Linked DNA regions of Xenopus tropicalis. The protein of the gene in region 1 purifies or fractionates together with the protein of each later gene. This does not show direct contact. Links are inferred from orthologs where the notes say so. Each region holds a gene or a part of one and is shown in the gene's direction. Other genes may lie near its edges. The genes, in order: copg1, nudcd1, arcn1 and cope.

Region 1 (7,533 bases):
AGTTGAAGTCGGAGGCAATTTTGAGTACCTGGAGTCCGCGGCAATTTTGAGTACCTGGAGTCGGCAAAAAATGAACCAACTCTGACTCCTACTAAATTTAAATGGGAATAAAAAAAAAAAAAGCAAGTTTAAATGTCCCAATTCACAAACAGTCATAATTAATTACTTCTCTGCTATAAGAATAAAGCCCAATGCAGAGCCAGTAGTTCTGTGGTTAAATGACATGTATGTCTCCTTCCTTTCATTCAATGAATGTATAAAATACATTAGCATATTAAAAACAGTCGGAGTCGGAAGTATCAGAAACTGAGGAGTCGGAGTCGGAGAATTTATCTACCGACTCCACAGCCCTGGAAGCCAGTACTTGTATGATCTAGGTCCTATAATGACGCCTGTGGATACCTTACTGAAACTACCCTGATATTGTCATCAGTAATTAATGGGCCGCATACTGCCAAGTAGGCCTCTGGGTGGTGAGCCATGACAGCAAATAGAATGGGGCTTATTGCCGCTTATCTGCATCAGCCACACCCCTTTATGCCAAAACCTCACCGATAGTATGAACAAACCTTGCCCACTCCATGTTAGACTCACATCTTCATGTTGGGTACCCTTCTACCATAGGGCCCCTGATAGGATTACCTCTCATGGTGGCCCTGAGTAGACTTAGTATAATTTACTTTTCAATTGGTCTTCATTATCTATGTGTTTGTATGTTTTTTGTTTTTTTTTTCTCTTTCCAGCCTACAACTAAAAAAATGTGGTGTGGTAGTCACTTAACTTTGACACTGTAACCAGATACACTGTGCAGTTTTATTGCTCTTTTTTCTTTTTATAGTGTCTAGTATTTATTTCAAGTTTGATTTTAAAACATAACTTAATTTTGTGTGCAGGTCAGACTGGGGAAGTACAGGCCTCCTCTGCTTCAGAAGTGTTCCTCTCTTAAAACCAGAGGCGCACTCAGAAGTAGTGTACGGAGTGGAAAGACACTGGTACAGGTTGGGTGCGGGTCCTACAATGGCAGTATTTTATGACTTGGGGTCAGGGTGGAGCTTTTCCTGACCTGCTCATTATTAATGCATGCTGTGGGCTAGGATTAAAACCAACCTACTAATCAACCCAAGTGTAGAAAGCCTGAAATCACTACATGATTTGCAATACATTATTTGCATTTATTTAAATAATGTGCCTATGTTATCATTTAATTTACATAAGTTTTAAAAGTTTTTATTTTAACTATTCCAGGGGGCAGCTCCAACCCTTTCCAGAACCTTGAAAAGAGTGCAGTGCTCCAGGAGGTAAGGCCTTGACTCTTTGTGTATTTATTTATGGTGCTCAATTTGCCAGCAGTAAATGTGAAAGTTGGCATATGACCATCTCTGTACCCTCTAGCATTTTATTTCCAAATAGACTCAAGATCAATTTAGGGCTTTTTCATGTTGACTGTTGCACAAGTGCTCCCCCTCATCTCACTTACAGGGGATTAAGCAGTGACTTTCTGGTAGTTGTAGTTCTGCAGCTGAAGTGGCCTATACTGGAACTAGTTTTTTCATTTTCCTCAATTTTATAATAATTACTAACTTACAGGCCACAGTTCTTCATTAGTTCTCCTTATTTGTCATTTATTTTGCAGCAGTGTAAGCTTGTCTACAACTGTGAATTTATGTTGTATCATGTCTGCAATCCAGCATATAGAAAAATAATTCCTTCAGTAATGAATTTTCTGTTGTACCTTCACATTGAATTATAGGCTCGTCTGTTCAACGAGACTCCAATTAACCCTCGAAAATGTGCTCACATCTTGACGAAGATACTATATTTAATAAACCAGGTACGTGAAACATACAGTTTGCTCTGTGTACATGAGTCTTGATATATAAAAACTCACCCACGTTCTGTTCATTCCTATGGGATTTTTTAGAAGCATGTTTATCAAATAGTGAACTCTAACTTTCACCTGTCAATAAATATTTTTTAAAAATACCATAAGAGCGAATAGAACGTGGGTGAGTTAGTTCTCAATTCACATTTTGGTAAATTTGCCCCATAGTGTTGGCTTTAGAGCAGGCCAAAGAGGGTCTTTTTATACAAATGGCATATTACTACATCATTATTTCATCATTTACACCAACAGTGTCCAGTATGTCTTCCTCCTGTATTTATTTATTTTTTACTGATGGCTAAATGACTGATTTGCAGAGCTATTGAACTACCATAGGGTCACCTATTATTTAGCATCACCTTCTGGTGGTGGTATTTGTGTATGTTAGTTGTGTAGCAAGGACCCCACTTACCTTGATACAGATTTGAGCACCCAGGGGATGTACAATTCCTATACATCTTGTAGCAGATTCAGACAGCATTATGTGGGACTGTCAAATCAAAACAGTCAGTTTACCACTACTGAGATACATTTTCTGGTTAGACTATTAAAACCTTATTAATGAAAGTCTACACCTACTTTGACATCTCTTTGCGTGCAGTGTAGCATTCTCACTCAAATGTAGCTCTAATTTGGTGCCTAGCCCATAGTCTGAAAGATTACAATGACCACGCTAGTTACAGAACTAGTCTTGTGAAAATTTCATCCATACATCATTCCAAATCATAGCTTAAATCATCAGGTGTACAGGTTTGGTGCTTAGGATTTATTTTTGCTTAGGAAATAGGGTTGCTGTCCATGTTCCCTGCACAAGCATTCAGCAACGTTCTAAGCCTCCTAAACAGGTCCAGCTTTGAAATTAAGGCAGCTGTACTGCCAAGAATCAGATACTTGGGTTTCTTGGATTACAATGAACAAACCAAGTAAATGTTACTTAAGTGTTAAGTTGATAATGTTACTGGCATAAGCATCTCTTTAACCTGAGCAGGATTAGAAGGGGTACATAATGTTTAGTCTTGCCTTTTTGTGCATGTCCCCATGTTCATGCAGAGTTATAAGTAGAATCAAACATGATTTCCAGTACCTACAGTAACTTTGTATTTTGTTACCAGGGTGAGCACATGGGTGCCACAGAAGCAACAGAAGCTTTCTTTGCCATGACCAAACTGTTCCAGTCAAACGATGTATGTACCTTTTCTCTTGATTGTTATGTCTATCATAACTGGAAGGACAGGCAGAAATATGATTAGTGGAATATAAAGCATATACCAATTTGTTACTGAAGTTTTACCAGTTATATTCTCAATGTCTGTAGTGGGAAATACCTTGAGTCTGTGCTTGAAGGCAAACACAGTCATTGTTTCAGGCAGAACATAAAAATTTTATGTTCTCTCAGTGATCTGTCATAAAGTTCTATTATTGCAGTATTCGTTGGACTTTTTCAGTTTAACCTTTTTCCAGTTTCAGTGTTTTGCCAGAATCCCATTGCTCTTATTAAGGTTATAAATATATAAAAACATTTCTATATCAGCCATTTAGCCATAGTTGCATGAATATCTATGAAAGCAAATACGTTAACCCTAACTGCCTTGGCATATATAATGTTGAAATTCAAATTTTATTTACCTTTATTATTACCCTTTAGCCCACACTTCGCAGAATGTGTTACCTCACTATAAAGGAGATGTCAAGCATTTCTGAGGATGTAATTATTGTGACGAGTAGGTGAGTTGGCAAACAACCCATTTAATTAGAACTAAACAAACATTCTGCCTTTTGGCTTCATTACGGAGTGGCAATATTTTAGAAGGTGTTTGGTTTCCGAGTATATTACATGTAACAGCAGTCATTTAGCTGTACTTCATGTAAATATTTTTCATAACCTTTTGGTGCAGGTGCCCCATATTAGAATTTTTAGCACTGTTTTTTTTGTATTAAATCAGGTATTATTTAGAAGAAAAGATCATTCTTTGGATTGCAGCCAATAAGTCATATATGTGTGGATATAAAAATATGTAGCATTCTTTCTGAACCATAAAAATACTCTGTCCATATTTCTGCTCCTCTTTGCCAATTTTGCCAGTTGTCTAAGTAGTAGTGGCCCCTAAGTATTAGTACTCTGTCAATACCACTGCATGCCAACATTTTATTTTGTCCATTTTTAAATGTACGATGCCTTTTTGTTTTAACTTTTGTTATTTTTTTTTGTTACGTAGTTTAACCAAAGATATGACTGGGAAGGATGACAGCTACAGAGGTCCAGCTGTGAGAGCACTCTGCAAAATCACAGATGTATGTTTCTTTTCCAGTTAAATGGCTTAGAATCCTTTGGTTCAGCTAATTTTAGGCAAGCTCTAATTTTAAGTTTTTCTTATTTTAGAGTACCATGCTACAGGCCATTGAACGTTACATGAAACAGGCCATAGTAGACAAAGTATCCAGTGTGTCCAGCTCTGCCCTCGTCTCCTCATTGGTAAATACTTTTTATTTAATCATATTGAGATGTTAAATCTTTTTCAGATTAATGTGTATCTAGCAACTATCTTGTAGTTGTACTATGTCCCTTAAGTCACACTGTGGTTGTTCTAACCTGCCCGTGTTGAAAATTGGCCTATGGGGTGTCTCACAGAGTTTCCAAGTGGGATGATTGATGAATTAATTCCTAATTTAGTGCAATAACTCTTTGTAGTAAATACAGATGTTTAGCTGCCAATTTTGTACATTTATTGCCAGTGTATGCCATAATCTGCTAAAATGGTGAAAAGAAAAAAATAGTAGGGTAAAACCCAGAAGCTCCATATTTCCCTTTTTTTACATGTCAATTTGTCAGAATGTGTTTAGCTTCTTTAAATAGTTAAACACCATTCATAATCCCTGATATGAATCTCATGAAGGGAACAGGTTTTGGACATTTTTTTGAGTGGTAAAAAAATATATACATTGATAAATTTTCCCCCTTTGTTTTTATCTAATCTAAAAGCCCCCTTTTATTTACAAACATAACCCATGCCGTGTTATTCTCCCTGCAGCACCTACTGAAAACCAGTTTTGACGTAGTCAAACGTTGGGTAAATGAGGCTCAAGAGGCAGCTTCCAGTGATAATATAATGGTTCAGGTATGTGCAAACTGACACCAAACTTTCATATAGTATTTCTGACCCTACTAGCATTCACATTTCATTGCCCTTTAATGTTTCACAGTATCATGCTCTGGGCCTGCTGTACCACGTGCGAAAAAATGACCGGCTGTCTGTTAACAAGATGCTGAGCAAATTTATGCGTCATGGTCTGAAGTCCCCATTTGCCTATTGCATGATGATTCGTGTGGCTAGCAAGCTGTTGGATGAAGAGGATGGGAGGTAATTAAGTGGTTTTTAAAGTCTACAAATTAATATAGATACTTACAGTGCCTGCTTAACAATTTTTTCTTTCCTAGTCGGGACAGTCCTTTGTTTGATTTTATTGAGAGCTGTCTGAGAAACAAGCATGAAATGGTTGTCTATGAAGCTGCTTCAGCTATTGTGAACCTACCTTCCTGCACTGCCAAAGAGCTTGCTCCCGCTGTGTCTGGTAAGCTCTTTTAATTTAATTGGTGAAAAGATGAATCTAACAACCGCCAAATAATACACACATATAGGGATTTTGGGTGTGTGCCTACCACTGTTTTGCATGATTAAAACGCCGCAAATCGGCCAATGCCAGCATTTTTTCCCTCAAGATTGTCATTGACATCACTGAGGAGTGTGCTATTTTGAACAAATAACAAAATGCCCCAAATTGTGCCATTACTCTAAACTAAATTTTCAATAAAATCTGAATGTCTAGGTGATCTGCACTGTGCACATTTGCTGTCCATAAGTAGAGATTACTTACAGTTTGAAGGCATTTTGAGCAAAACGCAAGAGGGCTGAAATGCTAAGGGTGGGGCAGGGTCCAAAAACAAAGAGCAATCTGCTGCTTTGCACCATTTCCCAGTGACCTGCATTTGACTATAGGTCTGGAGAGCAAGGACCTAAGCTTCCCTCATGAAGATATATTTGTAGGGCAAGCATTGGGAGGCATGTAGGCAACACATCAGCCATCCCTTAACTAGGTAGTGCACTGCAGAGCTCAGCAAGACCCCAGTGTCATCATAACACCTATAGTTGTGTTTTTTTGCATACGTTTCAATATTAACCGTAAGCTCTTTTACCTCAGTTTTTTTTCATGTGTAACCTGTATGTTTATCATGTGTGTTCATTATATACACCTCTTGTACAGCGCTGATATGTCATATGTTGGCAGTTTTCTGTTTAATCAGCTACGTTGCAATTAAATATCGCCCAGAGACAACAATAAAACTGTGATTCTAGTTACTAGCTTCTAAGACAATGGTAGCATGTACGCGTTGCATTACCAAACAAAAACATATCTCATGTATGGGTGTATCTTGTTTTATTTAGGAACAAAATCCTATAGAATAAAACATGGTTTACTAACTAGTAATGGTCAATATAATGTTCTTTTGAACACGTAATTAAGAATCATTTTCAGGATCTTATACAAAACAAAGTATTTGATTAATTTGTTACATTTCTTTTCATCCTTTAGTGTTGCAGCTGTTCTGCAGTTCCCCAAAAGCTGCCCTTCGATATGCTGCTGTCCGTACTCTTAATAAGGTAGTGTGTTTATATTTTTTTAAGGTTACAGTAATTCTTGAAAACACATATAGCAGGCTTCTCTAGAGTGATTTTCACCAGAATTACCATATTTGGTGGAATATTGGTCTTTTTTTTAATAATTACAGAAGAAATCTTTAATGTTATTACTAGTTGTTGACCCACAATAAATAAATGAGCCAACATTTCAAAAATCCTTTTCAAGGCTGGAATTAACTGTACAATGCCATTGCCTACAACCCAAAATTGTCTGTGATTACAACCAAAATTGATGTGTGACTGCATCAGTCCATACATGGGCTGATATTAGGTTCCAGCTTGGGCCCTCCAGACCAAGTCGGTAGCTTATTGGCCCATGCATGGAAACAAGCAGCCTGTCCAATCGTTAGCTGGATAAATTTGGCCAAATAGCTATTGTACAGGTTTAAAAAGGCCATTAATGTAGACGACTACCAACATATCTCTATAGGACCCATTAAGATGTAATAATATGCCCAGGGGACACATAATTTGATTAGCATGAATTGTCCCACCACAGATTGGGTAAAGAGTTGCCAGTTGAGTGGACCTTCTAGTCCAGTCTAGTAATTTTCTTACCTTGGTTATAGGTGGCCATGAAACACCCATCAGCAGTAACTGCCTGCAACCTGGACTTAGAGAACCTGGTGACTGACTCTAACCGCAGCATAGCTACACTAGCCATCACTACCCTGCTGAAAACTGGCAGCGAGAGCAGCATCGACCGACTCATGAAACAGATTTCATCCTTCATGTCAGAAATTTCTGATGAGTTCAAGGTAAATTCTTTGTGATTGGATTAAAGCACAGATGGATATATCTGAAAATACAGACAAGCCCTGGCAGAAAATATTGCTGAGTAGCTGCTTTAACAAAGCATGGGAAAATCACTTGTATCTGGTTTTAATAATTATTTCCTTTTGTTTTCCATAGGTGGTAGTGGTTCAAGCAATTAATGCTCTCTGTCACAAGTAT
Region 2 (7,353 bases), on another chromosome or scaffold:
TTTGTAATGCGGCGGGCCAGAGGACATATCAATACAAATTTTGATAAAAATCTGATTTCTGTTTTGCTACACATACCAACTCTACTAAAGGCATGAAAATAAATTGTGATATATATTATTTCTTCTTTTAGTCTGGGTACAGAGCTGGGCAGCTCAGTGGGACTAATTACTTGCTATGGTGCCACGTGGTTCAGTTCTATGAAATGCACTTCATGGCGTCCGCAGCACAAAAAGCCCATAGGTACTCACCCAAGCAGCTGCCCTAAAGCATCAAGCACATACGGAGGCCATTAGCATCATCATGCTTACACCATTCTCTGCGTAGTGTCTATAAGCCAGGGAGCCCCCCCCCCTTAGGTGCCAGAGGAAAAATGCAGGGTACTGTTGCTGGAGGAAGGATTTTGATGTTAAAAGCTTACAGTCCAGAAGAAGAGGGACCTGAGGATTTAAGAGGTGTTTCCATAGACTCTGGGTCCTACTGCTACGTACATTCCAGTTGTAATATTTAGAAGTGCAAATTGAGGATTTTTTTTTTTTTTTTTTGAGACATTCTTTTAGAAGAATTGCTACAAATCCGCACCCAGGAGCTAAGGATATTAATATACAAATGATGCATTTTCACAACTCGTTCTATTGCAGCTGAAAGGGAAATTGACATGCTTTTTAAAATGATCCGTATGTTATTATTTTGGTCCAACAGAGAGTGGGGTAAAACCAAGGTGGTGTTTCCTGTGAATAGCATGCAGATCATTTTGTTAAATACAGGTTTAGCAGAGATGGAGGTTGAGTTGTCACTGCATATTATCAACTCGCTGTGGTTGTCAGTGCAGCAACAGGGCGATGGGTTTTAGACGGGATCTGACTGAAAACCGCAGGCGGAGAGAAGTGGAGTAAACACTCCATGTAACTGGGGCCAAAGAGACAAGGAAATGCTTTATCACTGGCAGTGCCAATTGGTTAGGTTCCTACTACGCTTTTATAATCTGTAACTGGACCAGTACTCCACTAAAAAAAAACACCAACTCATGGTAGTATTCTAGTGAGCACCATGCCACCATTTTGTTTCCTGCCCTTGGGATCTTCACAGATGCTCTGGACTGGGAATAAGCTAGCGACACTCACTAGTTCCCTGGGCTGGATCATTTAATGGCAAAGAGGAGTGCAGGCACATAGGGCCCCTCATGATTAAACATTTACACAATATAAATAATGCTATAGGGCAGGGATCCACAACCTTTTTCTACTCATGAGCAACATTTAGATATAAAAAAACGTTGGGGAGCAACACAAGCATGAAAAAAAAGTTCCTAGGGGGTTCCCAAAAAGGGCTGCAATTGGTTATTTGGTAGCCCAATGTGGACTGGCAGTACACATGGTTTTATGCCTCCAAAATTTGCCTCCAAGCCAGAAATTTAAAAATGGACACCAGCTTTGAGGCCATTGGGAGCAACATCCAAGGGGTTGGTGAGCAACATGTTGTTCCTGAGCCACTGGTTGGGGATCACTGATATAGGGTCAGTAGCAGGAAAAACAAACTGCTCAGTGTAAACCTATTGATGAAATCTATAAATACAGTTGGTATCTGTAAACAGCTAATAGTATGGTCATACTTACACTTGCCAGTGTGTATTTTTTCTATAAGGCCCTGACCCCATGTTGTTATTTACAATACAATGGGGAATGTATAGGCCTGTCATTAAGAAGTTTCAAATGGGGACATTCTTACCATGGTGAGAACCTTGTCTCGGGCAGCGTTTAAATGGCTTGTTCACCTTCAAATTAACTTTTAGTGTGTTATAGAATTGCCTGTTAGCAACTTTTCAATTGGTCTTCATTTTTAATTTGTTATAGTGTGTGAATTATTTGCCTTCTGCCTCTTTACCAGCTTTGAGTTGGGGGGGGGAAGGTGTTCACTGAACCTGGCAGCCAAAAACAATTGCCCTGTGAGGTAACACTTTTTTTAGTTATTATTACTTTATGTTCCTATTTAGGCCCTCCTCAATTCATATTATATTCATAATTCATATCTGTCTCTCTTTCAAACCACTGCCTGGTTACTAGGTTAAATTTTACCCTAGCAACCAGATAGCTGCTGGAATTCCAAACTAGAGAGCTGCTGCACAGAACTAAATCATTCAAAAACTGCAAATAATAAAACATGAAGACCAATTGCAAATTGTCTCAATAGCATTCTCTACATCACATTAACCCCTTTAGGTGCCAAATTTCCATACCCCAGAAACTCCCCAATCCAGAATAGATAGGACTGGAACAACGCCATTGGTTTGTAGAATGTTTTCCTGTTGAATTTAAAGAGAAATTAGAGAGCGTGAGAGTGTTTGACCCACTTTTGACGCTTCCAAGCTATACAGTATATTGCTATTGAATAACGGTTCTTCCTTTCACTATAAAGCAACTTATTGTTAGTATAAACCTATAAAAGCCAATCTATTTGCTCGATGAAGTGGGTGTTGAGCTTTTTACACATATTGAAATTTGTATCATTCATTTCTGACAACCCATAGTTTCTCTGAACATTTGAGCTGACAGAATATTTTCCTTGAAACATTGGAAAAGCAATCGGATATTACTACTCTTTTTTTAATGTTTGCTTAACGAAGCTGCCTTGTCGCACTCATTATTACTGCAAATTAGGCTTCAGAAAAGTCATTACATGTGGCTCTGAGATACTGTGTATTGTGCCTTATGAAAAGAGACTAATGGAAGCCTGATTAGCACTCGGCATTACTTCTCTGCTTTCCCAGCCTTTCTAAGCTTTTGTGGAAAAATGTTTTATTGTATAGCGACTTTAATGCACACAGTGGATCAGAGAGGTGTGAAAGGACAAACACACCTGTTAGAATACGTTCCTTTAGGGTGAAGACACATGGAGCTACTAGTAGCAGCTACTTGTCTTGGCTACTAAAACAGACAATGCTGATCATTTACTGATAGTTGTCTCTACGTGTGCTTTAGCAGAGGCAATTCTCAATATTGTCTATGGCAGGGGATTTTCTGGAGTGTAGTAGCTGTGACAAGTAGCTGTGACAAGTAGCTGCTAAGTAGCTAAGAAGCTCCATGTGTCTTCACCCTAAAGGTGGAAAGCAAAAAAATTCACAGCTGCGCTCAATTTTCGGTGGTGCAAAGTCTCCTAGACGTATGGCAACGAAGGGAGGGGAATACAAAGGGGCCTAGGTACAAACAAAGCTTTACAGGTGGTAATCACAAGTGGTGCTCCAGTTTGAGTAATCCATACCAACCAATAAGAAGATGGTATTTACTGACTTACTGTATGCTGATTTTTCAACATCTTGGGTTTATTTATTGCACAAACCAGCCATGCTCAATCACATCCACCCTGTTAAGTAACAATTACTATATACTTAGTATGGCAGCTACGAGGAGAGCACACAGAGCAGGATTGCAGGATGGTACAAAGCAGGATGGCTGAGGTAGTCGGTTCCCCACTTTTAGAGGACCTGGCTGGATGAGAAGCCCAGGTGGGCTGAGACTATATAGCCTGGAAGAATGTAGCGCCCTCAACGGTTTCATTCCATCAGTTTAGAGTGTGCATTCTGCCCATTACAAATTCTTTAGCCTCCCCAAACTTGCTTGACAGTTAAATAAAATAAAAGGTAAAACAATGAAAACTATGAGGCAAACGTTTCTCACCCCCATCCAGAAGCCTGCTACTCTAAAGGATCTTTACCTAGAACTTCTGACAAGCAGCAGTTGAGAACTCTGCTCTGATTGGTGGGAGATTCAGTGCTTTGCTCACAGTAGCTGCTTATCAGAGGTTCTAGGCATTGGGCACAGCCTTCCAGATGGGGGCGAGTAAAATTATTTTAGGCTCCATCCACCTTTCCCTAATCTGCAGCTGTCGACATATATATTTATGAAGAGTTCACAGGGGGTCACGCTGAGTGTCCTTTATTAATTATTTGATTATTGAAACTTAGCAGTAGCCGCTGCATTTCCCCCCCTAGGCTTATACTCGAGTCAATAAGATTTTCCAGTTTTCTTAGGTAAAATTAGGTACCTCGGCTTATATTCGGATTGGCTTATACTCGAGTATATATGGTAATCCTTATTGGGGGCAAAACCGTCCTATTGGGTTTATTCAATATTTAAATGATTTTTAGCATACTTAATTTACGGAGATCCAAATTACGGAAAGATCCCTTATCCGGAAAACCCAGGTCCCGAGCATTCTGGATAAGATGTCCCATACCTGTACTTGATCCCAACTAAGATATAATTACCCCTTATTGGGGGCAGAACAGCCCTATTGGGTTTATTTCATGGTTAAATGATTCCCTTTTCTCTGTAATAATAAAACAGTACCTGTACTTGATCCCAACTAAGATATAATTACCCCTTATTGGGGGCAGAACAGTCCTATTGGGTTTATTTAATGGTTAAATGATTCCCTTTTCTCTGTAATAATAAAACAGTACCTGTACTTGATCCCAACTAAGATATAATTAATCCTTATTGGGGGCAGAACAGCCCTATTGGGTTTATTTAATGGTTAAATGATTCCCTTTTCTCTGTAATAATAAAACAGTACCTGTACTTGATCCCAACTAAGATATAATCAATCTTTATTGGAGGCAAAACAATCCTATTGGGTTTATTCAATATTTAAATGTTTTTTTTAGCAGACTTAAGATATGGAAATCGGAATTACGGAAAGATCCCTTATCCGGAAAACCCCAGGTCCCGAGCATTCTGGATAATAGGTCCCATACCTATACATAAATTTGTATTCAGTTACTTTTCTTTTACCTTCGAGGTGGCTGTGTTTTGTAACGACTGATTCGTTGTTTTGGTGTTTATACCCAATAAGTGAATAATAGAACCCAACTGAAAAGATTGATGTTTCTTATGATTATTTAATGTGTCTGTGTTTGTACTACAGGATACGTCCAGGCATCAAAGCAAGACAAGAAGTTCTTCACGTGTGCGCCCAATTTCTCCTATTCGGCTCTGTGCGAATGCGTGCGCAGAATATTCATCTATCGCCAGCCCACCCCCGTATCCACTGAGTTGTACAACCGGAAGGAGGGTAGGAGAGTCGGGCAGGTTGCTAAGCAGCAGGTAGCCAGCCTGGAAACCACAGATCCCATAGTAGGATTTCAAGCCTCCAATGAAAGGTTATTCGTTCTAACCACAAAGAAATTATCTGTAATAAAGGTAAACAGTACAGATTAATTAAAGAGTGCTGCTGACATATTGTCGCAGTTCAGTAAAACCGAACATTATGCTTCTTTTGTTTTTCTTAAAGAAAGAGACCATTTTTATTGAATGAATTCATTACCTACCTGCATTCCAATAAAATATGTCAAATATAAGTCCCTTGTTTTCTGTGCAATAAGGCAAAAGTGCTAAATATGTTCATAAGGAACCTGCTTATTTATTCTTTTCAAAGGGGGGTTCACCTTAAGTTAATTTTTAGTATGTTATAGAATAACCTATTTCTAGCAACTTTTCAGTTGGTCTTTATTATTTGAATTATGTGTTTTCTGCTTCTGACTCTTTCCCACTTTCAAATTGGAGTCACTGACCCCCGGTACCCACAAAACTGCTGCTCTGTGAGGCTACAATGTTGTTGTTACTTTGTATAGATTATTTTTCTATTCAGGTCCTCTCCTATTCATAAATCAGTCTCTCATTTAAACCTCATTCTGGTTACTAAGGTCATTTGGACCCTAGCAACCAGATAGCTGCTGAAACTCCAAACTGAAGTGAAATAATTAAAAAGTGAAATAATGAAAAAACTAAAGATATTAAAAAAATGAAGACCAGTTGTACAGTGTCTCATAATATTACTGCATCATACTAAAAGTTAACTCAAAGGTGAACAGCCCCTTTAACAGAACACTTAAGAGATCATTCTTAAGTTGATCATTCAAATCAGTCCCCAGTGTTGATTAAAAAGTTCCTATCATATTCACTCATTATGGTTAATTTCTTTAGGAGCTCTGGACACACATACTGTAGATACAGGGGTTAGAATTGAACTCGGGACCCCGGCCAAGCAAATGAGTAGTGCTTAGCACTGTGCCATCCTTGGCTGCTGTAGCAATTTGTACTCGTTTATTACTTATCCAGAATGCCCGGGACCTGGGTTTTCCAGATAAGGGGTCTCATAATTTGGATCTCCCTAACTTAAGTCTGCTAGAAATCATTTAAACCCAATAAGATTGTTTTGCTTCCAGTAAGGATTAATTATATCTTAGTTGGGATCAAGTACAGGTACTGTTTTATTATTACAGAGAAAAGGGAATCATTTAACCATTAAATAAACCCAATAGGGCTGTTCTGCCCCCAATAAGGGGTAATTATATCTTAGTTGGGATCAAGTACAGGTACTGTTTTATTATTACAGAGAAAAGGGAATCATTTAACCATGAAATAAACCCAATAGGGCTGTTCTGCCCCAATAAGGGGTAATTATATCTTAGTTAGGATCAAGTACAGGTACTGTTTTATTATTACAGAGAAAAGGGAATCATTTAACCATTAAATAAACCCAATAGGGCTGTTCTGCCCCCAATAGGGGGTAATTATATCTTAGTTGGGATCAAGTACAGGTACTGTTTTATTATTACAGAGAAAAGGGAATCATTTAACCATTAAATAAACCCAATAGGGCTGTTCTGCCCCAATAAGGGGTAATTATATCTTAGTTGGGATCAAGTACAGGTACTGTTTTATTATTACAGATAAAAAGGAAATCATTTTTAAAAATGTGAATTATTTGATTACAATGACGTCTATGGGACATGGCCTTCCTGTAATTTGGAGCTTTCTGGATAACAGGTTTCATATAACGGATCCTATACGTGTATGTGTCAAAAAAAGGTAAATCGTTTAAAGTAGTCTTCTAGTTACTTACTTCCTACCCCTGGTCGATTCCCCTCTTGCACCCTCTTAGGGAACTTTACCTGTAAGTGCTGTGTGCCACCTGTACTTGATCCCAACTAAGATATAATTACCCCTTATTGGGGGCAGAACAGCCCTATTGGGTTTATTTAATGGTTAAATGATTCCCTTTTCTCTGTAATAATAAAACAGTACCTGTACTTGATCCCAACTAAGATATAATTACCCCTTATTGGGGGCAGAACAGCCCTATTGGGTTTATTTAATGGTTAAATGATTCCCTTTTCTCTGTAATAATAAAACAGTACCTGTACTTGATCCCAACTAAGATTATCGTTATTGGAGGCAAAGCAATCCTATTTAAATGATTTTTAGCAAACTTAACGTAGGATATCCAAATTGCAGAAAGATCCCATATCCAAAAACCCCAGGTCCCAAGCATTCTGGATAACAGGTTCCATACCT
Region 3 (7,533 bases), on another chromosome or scaffold:
AAATTATGAAATGTTCCCTTATTTGGATAGAACTATTCTGGATAGGTCCCATATCAGTATAAAGAAATAGATTTTCTATCCTGGCCACACGTTTAACAAAAAGGTTAAAGTGTATTTGATGGCAATTTTTTGTCTTGAAGTAAAACACAGCATAAATCTTCAAAGTTGTGAGAATTCATATGGTAAAAGTGACTTCTGAGATTATTAAATCAGCAGTTCAAGTGCTAGAGCTGTTTTTCAGCCCGTAGGGATGTCTATGTATCAAACCAGTGAACTTTTCCAAAAAGAAAATTAGGGGGTTTTGTACCCAGTGCTAATCGGTGCATCAATTAATGCTAAAGTGATTGAGTCTTAAGACCAGTGCATAATATAAGCAACTAATGTACTTGAAAAGGGGAGTGCATTTCTTAGTAATTATTCCACTTTCTTTTATGGCTGGGAATTTATGTGTAAAAGGGGAATATGAAAAAAAATATATATATATGAAAAACCTCCTTGCAAAATCAGTTACTGGATCTGTGACAATGTAGTTTGCCACTAAAGTTTGGATACCTTTGGGCTGTGGAACAGTGAGTATCCTTCTGCCACTGCCATTTTGAAAAAACAGCAGTAGATACCTCTGTCTGTCATTACGTTTAATAACACTCCAGAAGCCATATTGGCTGTGTACAGAACTATGACAGGTGGACCACAGTACCAGAGCTCTAGCTTGGGTAGATGTCAAAGTTTGCCTGTTACTGCAGCCAGTCACCCAGAGTCTTCATCCAACATTATTGGGGTGCTTCCCTGTACTGCACAGTGACTTTGAAAATAGAGTATGTCGAAATAAAAATCCCACTTTATGGAATCTGGGTGTTATACAGTAGGGGTGTCTTCCTAAATGTGCCACCAGTTTGAAGAATTTGGTTTAGCTTTTCCATTTCAGAGCTTGTAAATCTCCGGGCACCAATTAATGCCATGCTTAAAAATAAGGCCCATTTATATAAACTGAAAAACAGGAGCCCCACAAAGCCACATTCTTGTAGAAATAGTAACAACACCATTAATGTGGATGAGAGAATTTCTTGTGAAGCTTTTAAATTCATTTATTAACTACTTGTCTATAATGCTGGCACTAGAATTTACTTTTTCTTTTCTAATTCAGGTGCTGCTGGCGGCAGCAGTCTGCACCAAGGCCGGTAAGGCCATTGTATCAAGGCAGTTTGTTGAGATGACCCGCACACGTATTGAAGGACTTTTGGCCGCTTTTCCAAAGCTTATGAACACAGGAAAGCAGCACACATTTGTTGAGACAGAAAGTGTTCGGTATGTTTACCAACCCATGGAGAAGCTCTACATGGTTCTTATCACTACCAAGAACAGCAACATCCTGGAGGACCTTGAAACACTCAGATTGTTCTCCAGGGTGGTAAGTACAAAACCTGCTCTGATGACTCTAGAATAGAACATGGAAGGGCATTACACTTCTGGGGTATTAAATCTAATATAAATACTAAAGGTATTATCCCAATATCACTAGCTAAACCTGCAAATTTTGAGATGGAAAATACCCCACCCACAAACCATGCTCAGACAGTTAAAACACTAATTTCCTTAAATTCACAACTGTATGAATATAATCCTATAGACAACTATATAATATAAAGGTTACAAGATAAGCATGCCTGTCAGTCTTTGCCTCTGACCTTCTCTGCTAACATGCCTGGCTTTTATAGCCAGCCTCCCCCCTCCATGGTGCAATGATGTGCTTGTTCCTGCATACAAATTTGTGGTCACTCCTACATCCTCCCCATTTAATGATATGCTTAGCTGCTCTTCATCTCCCCTTTCTACAAGCTGACACACCTCAGGACTGTTTATCTTAGGTCAACGGTGACCGCGCACATGAACACTACATTGTGGCATCTATCGGAACATATAATCTCTTTAACATGTATTCAGCATGTTTCATCTTTATGCCTGCACAGACACCAGCCTTTCCAGCTAATATGTTAGCATATAGCAGGAAGGCTATAGTTTTAGGTCTTTACATGGCATTAGGTTGTCCATATTTGTGGAGGTATTATAATGATACTGATGCAAAAGGCTAAATGTCTTCCATTAGCACCGAACTGTTTCTTCTCATGGTGTGAATTTGCTATTGTAGAGGCAACGTTAAATGCCACAGAATACACAAGGGACTCCATTCAAACTGAATTGTGAATTCAAGAGGAAACTTACCTTTAAAAGGACAATATGTTCCCAAGTTTTGCACTTTAAAAAATATGATTGAGCCACCTCTGTATAGTACGTCACAGAGGAGAAGAAAAGGTAAAATCACTTGCCAGTGCCAATTGTTAGTCACCACCAGTGACTATAATTGCTAACCTCATATCCTAAGCCATCTCTTCTTTATAAAAAAAAAAAAACACGTTGGCCTGGAATGCTTTTATGTAGCTGCCACCTTTTTCAGTGCTCCCAGTTTTTCCCTGCGTTTGTTCATTCAGTGCATGCCCTTCCCCCCCCCCCCCTTGAGCACAGAAGGAGATGTTTACAGTAGTGCTTCAAAGTTGGTGAACCCTTTAAAATATTCTATATTAATGTGACCTAAAACATCTGATTTTCAAACAAGATATACAAGTAGATGAAGAAAACCTAGTGAAGTAAATGAAACAAAAAAAAAAGGAAATTATTTATTTATAAAAATGTGAATTATTTGATTAAAGGAGACATAATTTTGTAGGCAATCATGAATAATATATGGTGCTGGTTTCACTTTGGGCTAAAAATGAATCCTATTGTGGCCTGCCACAATACCACACAGTTTCCAGGGTCTTAGTGTATGTAACCTACCTATATACACCCCATCAACTTCAACTATCTCCCCAGTACTCCTCTTACTGTGTATGTATGTATGTATATATATATATGTATGTATATATACATATATATATATATGTATATATACATATATATATGTATATATATATGTATATATATATATATATATATATATATATATATATATATATATATATATATGTGTATATATATATATATATATATATATATATACTGGAATGAGGACAGTACTCCTAGGATTTAAACAATTTTGAGCAAAATGTAAATGTAAATGCAAAAATAGAAAGGTTTATTACAAAAAATGCACTGGAACAAGGACAGCATTCCTAGGATTTAAAGAATTGTGAGCAAAATGTAAATGCAAAGATAGAAAGGTTTATTACTCAACGTTTCAGTCTCACACAGAAACCTGATGAAGGTACGGGACCTGTTATCCAGAATGCTCGGGACCTGGGGTTTTCCGAATAAGGGATCCTTATGTAATTTGGATCTCCATAACTTAAGGCTGCTAAAAATCATTTATATATTATAGACCCAATAGGCTTGTTTTGCCTACAATAAGGATTAATTATATCTTAGTTGGGATTAAGTACAATTTACTGTTTTATAACTACAGAGAAAAAGGAAATCATTTTTAAAAATTAGATTTATTTGCTTATAATGGAGTCTATGGGAGATGGCCTTTTCGTAATTTGGAACTTTCTGGATAATGGGTTTCTGGATAAGGGATCCCATAACTGTATATATTCACTTTCATGCGTATTCCATAATATATGATAATATATGTTGTTGTATGTTCCTACTGTAGATTCCTGAGTACTGCAGAGCTCTGGAGGAGACAGAGATTTCAGACCACTGCTTTGATCTGATCTTTGCATTTGATGAGATTGTGGCCCTTGGATACAGAGAGAATGTGAACCTGGCCCAAATAAGAACTTTCACAGAGATGGACTCGCATGAGGAAAAGGTGTTCCGTGCAGTCAGAGAGGTAAGACTACAAGTAGAGATCTTATCCAGCATACATTTAAGGCAATGACCTACTTGTAGCTTTAGTCAACCCTTCTTGGTGCATATGTGAAATTATTCAGGGTACGAACTATAAATCAATTTATGAAGACCTTTTGAGCGAAATTTCAACACTTTTTTTCCAGTAATTCAGTGTATTAAAAGGGCTATTATGAAGATATGGAGAATGCTTGCGTTAATACCATAATTTTAGAACCAGTATGAATCTTGTTATGCTTGCTTAACTTGGCAGTTGTTCCTTTTGATGGTATAACTGGTTTGTGCTTTAGTTACCAGTAGTGATGGATCTTCAGCGAGTCATAATGTCTACTGATATACATCAGGGAAAATAAGTATTGAACACATCAATGTTTTTCTCAGTAAATATATTTCTGATGGGGCTATTGACTTGAAATTTACACCAGATATCTGTAACAGCCCAAGTAATCCGCACATACATAGAAATCAAAACTAGTAAGTCCATAAAAGTGTAATGACACTGGGAATAAGTATTGAACACACTTACTGAAATGTATTTAATACTTAGTAGGAAAGCCTTTTTAACGACAGCTTCAAGGCGCCTCCTGTATGGAGAAACTAGTTGCATGCATTGTTCAGGTGTGATTTTGACCCCTTCTTCCACACAAACTGTCTTCAAATCTTGAAGGTTTCGGGGGCCTCTTCTATGAACACTGATCTTCAGTTCTTTTCATAGATTTTCAATAGGATTTAAGTAGAGTGATTGACTGGGCCATTCTAGCAGCTTTATTTTCTTTTTCTGAAACCAACTGAGAGTTTCCTTTGCTGTGTGTTTGGGATCATTGCCTTGGTCAAATATCCACCCTCGTTTCATCTTCAGCATGGTAGATGGCAGCAGATTCTTATCAAGAATGTCCTGGTACATTTGTCCATTCATCCTTCCTTCAATTATATGAAGTATGCCAGTACCATATGCTGAAAACAGCCCCTCACCATGATGTTTCCATTGTGTTTTTGGGGTGATGCAGTGCCATTTCTCCTCCAAACATGATGTGTGCAATGACATACAAAGAGTTCAATTTTGGTCTCATCTGACCAGACTATATTCTCCCAGAATTTAATTGACTTGTCCAATTGTTGTGCGGCAAACCTTAAGTTGAGTTTTAACATGTTTTTTCTTCAGCAGCGAAGTCTTGCACAGTGAGCATGAATAGAGGCCATGTTGGTTGAGTGCATTACTTATTGTTTTCTTTGAAACAACTGTACCTGCTAATTCCTGGTCTTTCTGAAGCTCTCCGCAAGTGATGCTTGGTTCTCGGACAACTCTTCTTTCTATTCCAGTCTGTTTTACAAACCATTTCCTGGTTGCTAGAGTAAATTGGATCCTAGCAACCAGATTGCTACTGAAATTCCAAACTGTATTAAAAAGCTAAATAAATCAAAAACCACAAAAAATAAAAATGAAGACTAACTGCAGGTTGTCTCAGAATATCTGCATTATACTAACAATGTATTTGAAGATAAACTACCCCTTTAACATGGGGGTTTTAGGTAATTCAGTAAAACATTTGTTTTCTTATCTTTTTTACTTATGGTACCTAAAATCTGAGTGCTCCATTTGCAGTGTTACATTTTAGTATAATTTTTTTTGTTAATTTCAAACATTTTACTCTTCTGTGCATTTGCAAGTGTAAATCTACTGAGTTACAACTAATATAAGAAAGATGATGGTGCTGCATTACTTATTGGATTTGCTGAGGGGTGCCAAACATTGGCACCCCCAATGAAATTTCTTTCAACTGACAAAAATAAAATGCAAGCCTTTCGCTAAAGCATTTTTAAGAGTAAAACTGTTTTCTGTTATATAGATATTGGAGTTATTCATGCACCTTTCTTTCTGCACTCTTTACAGACACAGGAAAGAGAAGCCAAGGCAGAGATGCGACGCAAAGCCAAGGAGCTTCAGCAGGCTAGAAGGGATGCAGAGCGGCAGGGCAAGAAGGCTCCTGGATTTGGAGGGTTTGGAAGTTCGGGTGGTTCCTCCATGTCTAACAATGCAGTTTCGCTGATTACAGAGACCATTATAGAACCAGAGAAAACAAAGAGTGCCCCTGTTCCATCACGGTATACAAGCAAAATACAATTGTAAAGTGTTATTGCAAACCAAATGAACTGTATAATATTTAAAATGATGGAATGGGAATTGTAGAATTATGGCTTTAAAAAGGTTTTTATGTGCAACATATTGTCTTGCCCCCTGTAGGCCATCTGGTTCTGGCAAAGCCCTGAAACTTGGAGCTAAAGGGAAGGAGGTGGATAACTTTGTGGACAAATTAAAATCTGAAGGAGAAACTATTGTCACCCCTTCATCTGGCAAGAGGCAGTCAGAAGTGGCCAAGGTGCTTGCTCCTCCCGTGAACATGGAGAGGTCAGTGTTGGGAATTTATGGGGACAGGAAGTCTGATATTTTGTAATATCAGTTGTGGTGAAAGAGGTTTTATCCAGTATTTTCTTTGTATATATAAAAACAGTTATTTATGCTCAGTATTTTGCATTTCTTATAGAAATTAGATTGTGTGATTTAAGTGGGAAGAATTCAATATTTGTTTTCTCAACATTTGAAGAAAGGCTAGCAAAGGCAGAACAATCAAAACTTCACAAATTATTACAAAAGGTGCGATTTATTTGATGACCGTATCCCTTTAGCATTCACATTTGTTGAGAGGGGATGAAATGCACCATTTTAGAGAAATCCATTTATTGATTAAAAGCTCTATTCTCTGTTATAAACTTCTATGCTGTATGTATACAGTTTGCAACAGCTTTTTAGATTTTTATGTTCGAGCTGCCTGTAGCAAACCAACATTTTGGCAGCTTATTATTTAACATGTTATAAATTGTTGGTAACCACTCTCATGTTAAAGGACTTACCACAATAGCAAACTTAGTAAAACTTTAGTATTTTGTGCTAGAATCCCTACCTCTGCTTTGCATCTCCCAACAGGGTCTTTGATTTTTCTTTTGGTGAGCAGATTTGTGCTGTTTTTGACTTCTGAGTATATTCTTTATTTTCATCTACAGTGTTCACTTGAGGGTTGAAGAAAAAATTTCCCTTACTTGCAGCCGGGATGGAGGACTTCAGAATATGGAGGTTCACGGGCTGATTATGCTCAGAGTGACAGATGATAAGTTTGGCAGGATCCGTGTGCACATTGAAAATGAAGATAAAAAAGGAGTACAACTGCAGGTTAGGAAGCATCTGTATTTGAATTACTGAAATAAACTGTCTTTCATGGTTCACAAATGGATTAAAGGAAAAGTCAATCGAAAATATATTTTTTTGCCTGATAAAAGAAAAAATTGTAAGCAACTTTGCAATATACATTCATTACTTTACCTTTTCTATTATTTTCCCTGGTGGCTCTGGCATTTGAAACAATGTAACACATGCCAGCAGACTGACAGACCTGTCTTGCTGGAGCAGACTGACCTTTGCAACATTGTTTAAAAAGTAAATGCTGCTTTCAATAGCAATTTAATTTATAAAATTTTTCAATTAAAAAAAAACTTTCACATTGGAAAGTTGCCTGGAATTATGTTTTCTTTAATTAGGCAAAAAAATTTTTTGAGGGTTTTCAAGTCCTTTAATATGAGAATTGAATGATCAAACAAGTATACTAAACATTTGTATAACATGCTTAGTACACT
Region 4 (7,999 bases), on another chromosome or scaffold:
TTTGATGATTCCGTTTCAGCCGATTCCACGGTCCCGGACGTAACGAATCCGAACTAGCTAGTTTGGATTCGGTACGTCCGGGACCATGGAATCGGCTGAAACCGAATCATCAAAAAAAGGCTGGATTCTGCTCCCTCAATAGTAGGTGCAAATTAGCATTCGGAAAGGGTTAAACGGTAGGGGCACGCCAAATTGTAGCGTGTACCAACTTTTAACCCTTCCCAATGCTAATTAGGATTCAGATTCAGTTTGGGATTAGGCAGAATCTGTCAGGGTGGGTTCGGTCAGAGCCAAAACAGTGGGTTTGGTGCATCCCTAGCTACTACAGTTATATAGTTTACTTTTATGGATCAGTTCCTTCTTGGACCTTATGTAAAGACATTACCATATTTCATACATTTGCTACAACTGGATAAGCCAGGATACATACCCATTCCACCAACAATAATGCAATCCTTCAAGCCCAGTGGCTTCCCTAGGACCCGAAATTGTTCTGCAATCTGATATGCGAGTTCTCTGAGAATAAAATTTAAAAAAAAAATCTTATAAAGAGAAATATAAAAAATATTGCTGGTAAATGTTTCTCTTTTTTGGTCTCGTAAAGATCTCTATCTTTAACATATTTGTCTACAAGTGACCACAGTTTTAATCTGACGACAAATTAGTCTGTATTTTCTAAATATACTTGACATTTGTAATCCATTTCAAACATTTGCTAGAGGAAGATAAAGCTAAATTTAAAGACCGGCAACTTATGTTTAGATTATGCACGAATGACAACTGGCTATAGCTGTGCACTGGATGTTAAGAATTATTCACAAAGCAACAATATATACATACATACATGTGTAGATTTTTTTTTCTTAAGAATCTTTCTACAATGTTTTCCTCCCTCTTTGAAATCTATGCCTTTATGTCTCAGTATCCCTGTGTTAAAGACCTGTAAAACCTTACAAAGGTTAACAGGGGCTACATATCATTATTATTAGATATTACTTTGTCTACTAAAAAAAATCATGTAAAATATCTGAAGCTAAACTGTGAAGTCATCTGTTGTTCATTGTAGGGAAAGACCATAATTTTTGCTCTACCACAATATTACTTTTTTTCTCTTTAATGAGAAAATTATACAATAACTATTATAATAGCATCTGTACTCACCGAGTTGGTGTCAGAACCAGGCAAAATATTCCAAAGGGATCCTCAGAGAGTTTTTGGAGAATAGGCAGCACAAAGGCAGCTGTTTTTCCACTGCCAGTCTTTGCACATCCCATGCAGTCTCGGCCTAACAGGACATCAACTTCATGAGTTCTCAACAAAATACAATACATTTTCTGTGCAGATGTTAATGGATAGTTGACCTTTTACCAGGTGGCTTTTTTCCTCTGATACATAATCAGATACATTTAAATCTGCAAACAGCATACACACGCAGACCCTTATTCAGCATACATTTCATCAATAATACAGGCTCACAGAGGCAGAACTGTCTGATAAACGTTCTGCTTTGTTTGAGCTGAGCTCAGGAGAGAAAGTTAGGAGAAAAAATTGAAGCAGACAGCTAGAGCTGAGTTTCTATGGGAACCAGCAATGCCATCTCTTCACTGGCTGCTAGACTGGAGGGCGTATTTTGTAATCTGAGTTTAGTACAACTGAGCATGTCTGGCAAGGCAGGAATCAAAGCAAATTCCCAAGGGGGGGGGGGCGAGTGGGTTACAGGAGGAGAAGGAAATCTAAGTGATTAAGGGGATGTTGCAGCCTTACTATTAACCTCTGGACAAGCAGAGTGGCAGGTATTGAAAGATTTCAAAGAGGCTGTTCACTGATTAAATTTTTGTGTGTGGGGTTTACATGTCCTTTAGATGAATGCAATTATTATGAATCGAACTTAGGTACAAGCAAAACTGTGCACAATATATTTATAAATAGGAATGTAACTATGGAGGAAACTGACGCTTCAAGAGACTGCCGGGGGGCCAGAAGGTAAAAGGGGACCAGTGGGACAGTGACAAAAAAGAAGATTAATACATTTAAATTAAATCTTACTCCTAAATGTTAGGGTTCCCGCAAATTTAGCGCTGCTTTCCTTTAACATATAGTTATGCCATTTACCTTTTGATCACTGGTTTTTCAGATGATTTGTAACACTTATGTAGATGACTTGCTCACCCTGGACAACTCAGATAATCTGCCCCCTTAATCGCGAAGAATCATATTCGCATTCACTAATCTCACCTTCCAGGATGGGCGGGATGCAATTCTCCTGTACAGGACTAGGTTTCAATATGCCCAGTTGGCTACATTGATCGATAAGCCAGGAAGACAACCCAAGCCTCGAAAACCCTTCCATCTTGACACGCGTGATAGCCACTAGCAGCACATTCCGGCGCACAAACTAATGCGTCACACAACTCGCCCTTCTATTGGTCCTTACGGGAACTGACCTTTGGTACTACATCTCCCGCCATGCCTTTAGCTGAGAGGCGGAAGTCGGTAAAGGAAGGCGGAAGTTGTGGAAGCTGGCCGGCTGACGTGTCCGGGATATACAGAAATGGCTGCACAGGGAGAGGTGGACGAGTTATTTGATGTGAAGAATTCTTTCTATATTGGAAGTTACCAGCAGTGCATTAATGAGGCGCAAAGAGTAAAGGTGATTTAACGATTACAGCAAACTGGGTCAGAGAGGCGTGGAGTTATGGCTGAAGGGATATGGATAGTGGACATAGCAGCAATCTTTTTAAATTGGGCATACGTATTGAACAAATATAACGACAGCATGCATGACTGAATCAGGCACAATAACATCTATTATTTTTCTCATGCTAACAATCTGAGGTAAGATGGATAATCAAATAGTAACGTGGGAATATTTTATTTTACAGCCTTCAAGTCCAGAGAAGGAGGTGGAGAGAGACGTTTTCCTGTTCAGAGCATATATAGCCCAGGTGAGAGAGACTCTGTATTATAATCATACATTATTCTCACCCAGCTGTCATTAGTATTGTGAATGTAGCCTTTTTTCCTCCTGCACGTATACCTATAAGTAAAAGAAGCTTTTTATTTCCTCCTGCACTTATACCTATAAGTAAAAGAAGCTTTTTATTTCCTCCTGCACTTATACCTATAAGTAAAAGAAGCTTTTTATTTCCTCCTGCACTTATACCTATAAGTAAAAAAAGCTTTTTATTTCCTCCTGCACTTATACCTATAAGTAAAAAAAGCTTTCTGTTTCCTCCTGCACTTATACCTATAAGTAAAAGAAGCTTTTTATTTCCTCCTGCACTTATACCTATAAGTAAAAGAAGCTTTTTATTTCCTCCTGCACTTATACCTATAAGTAAAAGAAGCTTTTTATTTCCTCCTGCACTTATACCTATAAGTAAAAAAAGCTTTCTGTTTCCTCCTGCACTTATACCTATAAGTAAAAAAGGCTTTTTATTTCCTCCTGCACGTATACCTATAAGTAAAAGAAGCTTTTTATTTCCTCCTGCACTTATACCTATAAGTAAAAAAGGCTTTTTATTTCCTCCTGCACGTATACCTATAAGTAAAAGAAGCTTTTTATTTCCTCCTGCACTTATACCTATAAGTAAAATAAGCTTTTTATTTCCTCCTGCACTTATACCTATAAGTAAAATAAGCTTTTTATTTCCTCCTGCACTTATAACTAAGTAAAAGAAGCTTCTTATTTCTTCCTGGTCTTATGACCTTTTATTTTCCACATGCAGCGCAAGTATGGGGTTGTTCTTGATGAAATTCGGCCAAATACCAACCCTGAATTACAGGCTGTCCGAATGTTTGCAGAGTATCTGTCCAATGAGAGTCGCAGGTATGTGCATTCTACATCTCCAGGGGGCAGATTTATCAAAATTTGAGATTAGAGCTCACTACAGAAAAATTCACTTTTTATTCATTCCTATGGGATTTTTAGAAGCATATTTATCAATGGGCTAAAGTTAGAACTCACCTTTTGATAAATATGCTTCTAAAAATCCCATAGGAATGAAAAGAACATGGGTGAATTTTTATGTATAAATCTTTGAACTCCCATTTTGATAAATCTGGCCCTATGCCTCTCCGTTATATTGTCCCACTCTGTGGCTCTCACCAGAACAACTGGCATATGGCTACTACCAGAAACTCGCTTGACCCTATACAACTAAAACGGTTACCAGATGTGATCATTTGGGTTTCAAGAAATGAGGTCTAGAACCATTGCACTCCCTATAAATATATTAACTTTAGGGGGCACATTTACTAAGACATTTTAAGAAACAGTTGATTTTTGTTTTTTTTTTTTTTACTTCTGTTGAGATTTACGAATGGGTTTTTGCCAGTGCTCGATTTTTCTGATATTGTTTCTCGAAAAATTCTAGTTTTTCAGAAATTTTCCCTGATAAATTTGAGTTTGTCGAAAATAACTCCCATTTTATAAATACAACAATGATCAAGTTTAATTCGAGTTTAATTAGAATTTAAACCATGTCGAGTTTATACTACTTTCAAGTCCAGAAAAAAAAAAAATTTTATTAAATCATTCCCTAAAACTTTTAGGGGAGATCCAACCACAAATAGTAAACAGGTTGGCTTTTCAGAGTCTTCAGATTGGGGAGGGCATATACCAAACTTGTAGAGGGCAAGAACAAAAATCTATATCATAGGCCAGGCTCATATAAACTTAATTTACTAATTAGAAGAAACATTACATCAGCTTAGCTTGATGCATCAGGATAAGTTATGTGACTTTTCTTCTTAATGATTATTTTTTTGAGTGGAGGACACTTTTTTCAGTATGTGCCTTCTGCAAGTGTTGATACATCTGCTTTTAACTTTCATACACTACCGTAGGCTCCCCTAATGGGTTGTGCTGTATAACTGACTATTAGATTTATCAGTGTAGTAAGTAAATGAGAAATCTGGGTATTATATCTGACCAAGCTTAAAGGACAAGGAAAGGCAAAGTCACTTGGGGGTGCCAAAATGTTAGGCACCCCCAAGTGACTTAAATCGCCTACCTTTTACCCCGGGCTGGTGCCCCTGTTCGGGGAGAACAGCACCAGCCCGGGGTAGCTGCAGCGCTTCCTGCTTCGCGTGTTTGTGCATGAGCAGTCGAGTGAAAAAGCTGAACTTTAACAGAGAAGTTGAATTTTTAATCTACTGCGCATGCGCCGGTCGTGGGGTCCCGGCAAAAGGAAGGAGGAACCGCTCGCTACAGGTACCCCGGGCTGGTGCTGTTTTCTCCTAACAGGGGCACCAGCCCGGGGTACAAGGTAAGCAATTAAAGTCACTTGGGGGTGCCTAACATTTTGGCACCCCCAAGTGACTCAGCCTTTCCTTGTCCTTTAATCAGATTTTGATCTGGAAAGGCAATATTTTTGACCTAAACACGGGCCAGTTGGGCTGCTGACTTGCTCAGAAGTGGAATAGTTGGTAGCAAGTGTTTCTTTCTATAGGCACTTTAAGTGGTAACTTAATAATGAGATAAAAGCTAAAATTCCAAAATCGAGAGCTAAAGAATAAAATATTAAGTAATTCAGAAACAAAAATGAATAAATTAAAATCAGCTGCAGAGATATCTCGAAATATTGATGGATAGACTATATTATAAATTTAGGATAACAGACTGTTGAAGACTAATTAATGAACTAGTTTAGTTTTTATCATACATACTATAGGTTCACAGCTTTTCTAGAAAGGATAGGTCTGTAACAAATAGTTGATCTGTCACAATTCAAAGAAAAAATGTAGCCCTCCCTTAGTGAAATGATAAAAGATATCTAAAAGAGAAGGAAAGATTAAAACCACTGTGGAGTGTTTTGTTTTTTTTTTTTTTCCCCAGTCAACAAAGAATTTCTGTACTACACATACACTCACTCAGGGTAATAGGCAACTTGCCACTCCCCAGTAGTTTTACCTTTTTTCTCCTTTAAATGTAGGTATTTTAGATATACATTCTGAAGCAAATGTATATTCTTGATAATACTTGGATTATAGTGCTAAGTTATACCAGTCTAAAATGAATATTTTAAATTTCTCTCTAGTGAGCGCAAAAGAAACTCAGGTACAACTACTCCCCATGTTCAGTCATGTAGAGTGGCCACATGCACTGTTGTAAATTCTAAACGTCTTAATAGAATAAGTAGTCCTTTTATTTTAAAGTCCCTTAACATATCTAGCATGGGCATTAAGTTCTGCCTTCTTGCTTTCTGCCTCCAATGGAAATCAATTAGGCATGTATATTAGACAGTTCCTTGACTGGATTCCTTATCAAAGGAGTAGGAAGACTTAGTATATACTAAAAAGTGCAAAGCTTTACACTGGCTTGATTTCTGCAGCATGTTCAACATCTTGTCTTAGGAAGGATCTGACTTAATGTAGAGAGCTATGTTCAAAATAAATACATTTGTATTAAACTTGTCAAAATCTTTCCCTTGAATTATCTTTTTTTTTAATTTCTAGAGATGCCATAGTTTCAGATCTTGACAAAAAGATGGCAAAAAGTGTTGATATAACTAATTCAACATTCCTGCTGATGGCCGCTTCAATTTACTTCCATGATGGCAACACAGATGCAGCCTTGCGAGCCCTACACCAAGGAGACAGCCTGGAATGGTATGTCAATTTATTTTTCCTTCACTTACACATTTAAAATTACTTTACTTGTATTTCTACCATTTTACTTTGGCCTATCTGCCTTGTGATGCTGAAGTTGTTTGCCTAAAAGATTTTAAATGCATTTCATATATATGTCAGATTTTGTGCAGAGAGTATGGATAAGCCAAGGATTAAATATAACTCACAGATAAACACGCTGCATCACGCCGATTCTTCTGAAAAATGGTTATTGTGCGAACAAACCAGGCAACATTTTGGGCACCAGCCCTTTCTCTGAGAAAGGGCTGGTGCACAAAGTGTGTTCATCTGTATGTCAGATTTTGTGAAGTTTCTTTGTGTTTTCCTGTAGAAATGATAATGTATAGCACCATTTGTACACTAAGTACTGTTTCTTAAACTACAATAACATACAGATAAGGAAACAAGATGCAATAAAATGTTATATACCTAGTCAGTAGAAAGAGTGGGTTTGTTTTTCTGCGCCTCATTATCTATTTATATATAATTTTTTTTTTTATATATATAATGATATAAGTAGGAAGTGGTATACTGGTGACCTTTGGAAATTAGATCCCAATAGACCTCATTTAAACACAGTTTAAATACACTAAAACATTTTAGCACAGAGGTTTTTGGACATTTTTAATTTTAAGAGCAGAGCTGTGGAGTTGAAATCAGAAGCAATTTTGGGTACCCAAAGTTGGCAAAAATGTACTGACTCCGACTCCTAAGGGTATATTTATAATGCTGTGTAAAAAGTGAAGTGAAACAGTACAGGTGATGGTGCTCATAACAGCCAATTAGATTCTTTGCTTTGGTTTTCTAACTGTTAAATCTAATTGCAGATTGGTTGGTTGGGCAACATCACAAGTAATGCTTTAATCCACTTTTTACACAGCATGATTAATATACCCCTTAAATTTAAATTGTAATAAAAAAAACTGTTACAATGTCCTACTTCACAGATAAGTCATAATAAAGTACTTCTTAGCTATAAGAATAAAGACCAAGACCACAGTGAAACTACTATGTACTGAAGTCAAGCTGAGCTACTAGAACCAGCCACAATGATATAGGCTTGGTTATTGGTTGAGACCCAAACTTGAAGAGTATCTTCATTCAAGTTGGCAGTGACTGGCCTGGATGGCCAATAGGTTAATGCATCAGCTTCCTAGCCAGAAGTTCTTTGGTTTGTTGCCAAAAGCAGACACCATCTTCATGTAGATTTAAAATTGCTGAGCTGTGGCAGTGATGAAATGCCTTGTATGCTGTGTTCTTTCAATCAACATGAAAAATACACTAGTGTATTAAAAACAGAGAAGTCGGTGGTACCATAAACGGAGGAGTTGGAGTTGAAGGATTTATGTACCGACTCCACAGCCCT

The links.
Region 2: the proteins of copg1 (region 1) and nudcd1 purify together in Homo sapiens (affinity purification with mass spectrometry; 3 studies listed by BioGRID and IntAct, counting the BioPlex papers as one, with this or other methods). This does not show direct contact. The link is inferred for Xenopus tropicalis from reciprocal best matches to the Homo sapiens genes COPG1 and NUDCD1.
Region 3: the proteins of copg1 (region 1) and arcn1 purify together in Homo sapiens (affinity purification with mass spectrometry; 6 studies listed by BioGRID and IntAct, counting the BioPlex papers as one, with this or other methods). This does not show direct contact. The link is inferred for Xenopus tropicalis from reciprocal best matches to the Homo sapiens genes COPG1 and ARCN1.
Region 4: the proteins of copg1 (region 1) and cope fractionate together in Homo sapiens (co-fractionation; 6 studies listed by BioGRID and IntAct, counting the BioPlex papers as one, with this or other methods). This does not show direct contact. The link is inferred for Xenopus tropicalis from reciprocal best matches to the Homo sapiens genes COPG1 and COPE.

What each region holds. Positions count from the first base shown.
Region 1 is NC_030680.2:135,682,183-135,689,715, reverse strand, and holds part of copg1 (coatomer subunit gamma-1), read left to right. Parts: intron 1-1,245; coding exon 1,246-1,298; intron 1,299-1,750; coding exon 1,751-1,831; intron 1,832-2,994; coding exon 2,995-3,066; intron 3,067-3,527; coding exon 3,528-3,607; intron 3,608-4,098; coding exon 4,099-4,174; intron 4,175-4,262; coding exon 4,263-4,355; intron 4,356-4,911; coding exon 4,912-4,998; intron 4,999-5,083; coding exon 5,084-5,241; intron 5,242-5,318; coding exon 5,319-5,452; intron 5,453-6,472; coding exon 6,473-6,540; intron 6,541-7,148; coding exon 7,149-7,337; intron 7,338-7,491; coding exon 7,492-7,533. UniProt on the Homo sapiens protein: The coatomer is a cytosolic protein complex that binds to dilysine motifs and reversibly associates with Golgi non-clathrin-coated vesicles, which further mediate biosynthetic protein transport from the ER, via the Golgi up to the trans Golgi network.
Region 2 is NC_030682.2:133,980,120-133,987,472, reverse strand, and holds the end of nudcd1 (nudC domain-containing protein 1), read left to right. Parts: intron 1-4,921; coding exon 4,922-5,214; 3' UTR 5,215-5,354; downstream 5,355-7,353.
Region 3 is NC_030683.2:80,551,012-80,558,544, reverse strand, and holds part of arcn1 (coatomer subunit delta), read left to right. Parts: intron 1-1,144; coding exon 1,145-1,408; intron 1,409-3,649; coding exon 3,650-3,829; intron 3,830-5,737; coding exon 5,738-5,949; intron 5,950-6,088; coding exon 6,089-6,253; intron 6,254-6,906; coding exon 6,907-7,072; intron 7,073-7,533. UniProt on the Homo sapiens protein: Component of the coatomer, a cytosolic protein complex that binds to dilysine motifs and reversibly associates with Golgi non-clathrin-coated vesicles, which further mediate biosynthetic protein transport from the ER, via the Golgi up to the trans Golgi network.
Region 4 is NC_030677.2:112,612,421-112,620,419, reverse strand, and holds the start of cope (coatomer subunit epsilon), read left to right. Parts: upstream 1-2,509; 5' UTR 2,510-2,551; coding exon 2,552-2,650; intron 2,651-2,882; coding exon 2,883-2,945; intron 2,946-3,728; coding exon 3,729-3,829; intron 3,830-6,459; coding exon 6,460-6,612; intron 6,613-7,999. Other genes in the region: probable ATP-dependent RNA helicase DDX49, read right to left, coding at 431-516, 1,162-1,285, 2,236-2,350. UniProt on the Homo sapiens protein: The coatomer is a cytosolic protein complex that binds to dilysine motifs and reversibly associates with Golgi non-clathrin-coated vesicles, which further mediate biosynthetic protein transport from the ER, via the Golgi up to the trans Golgi network.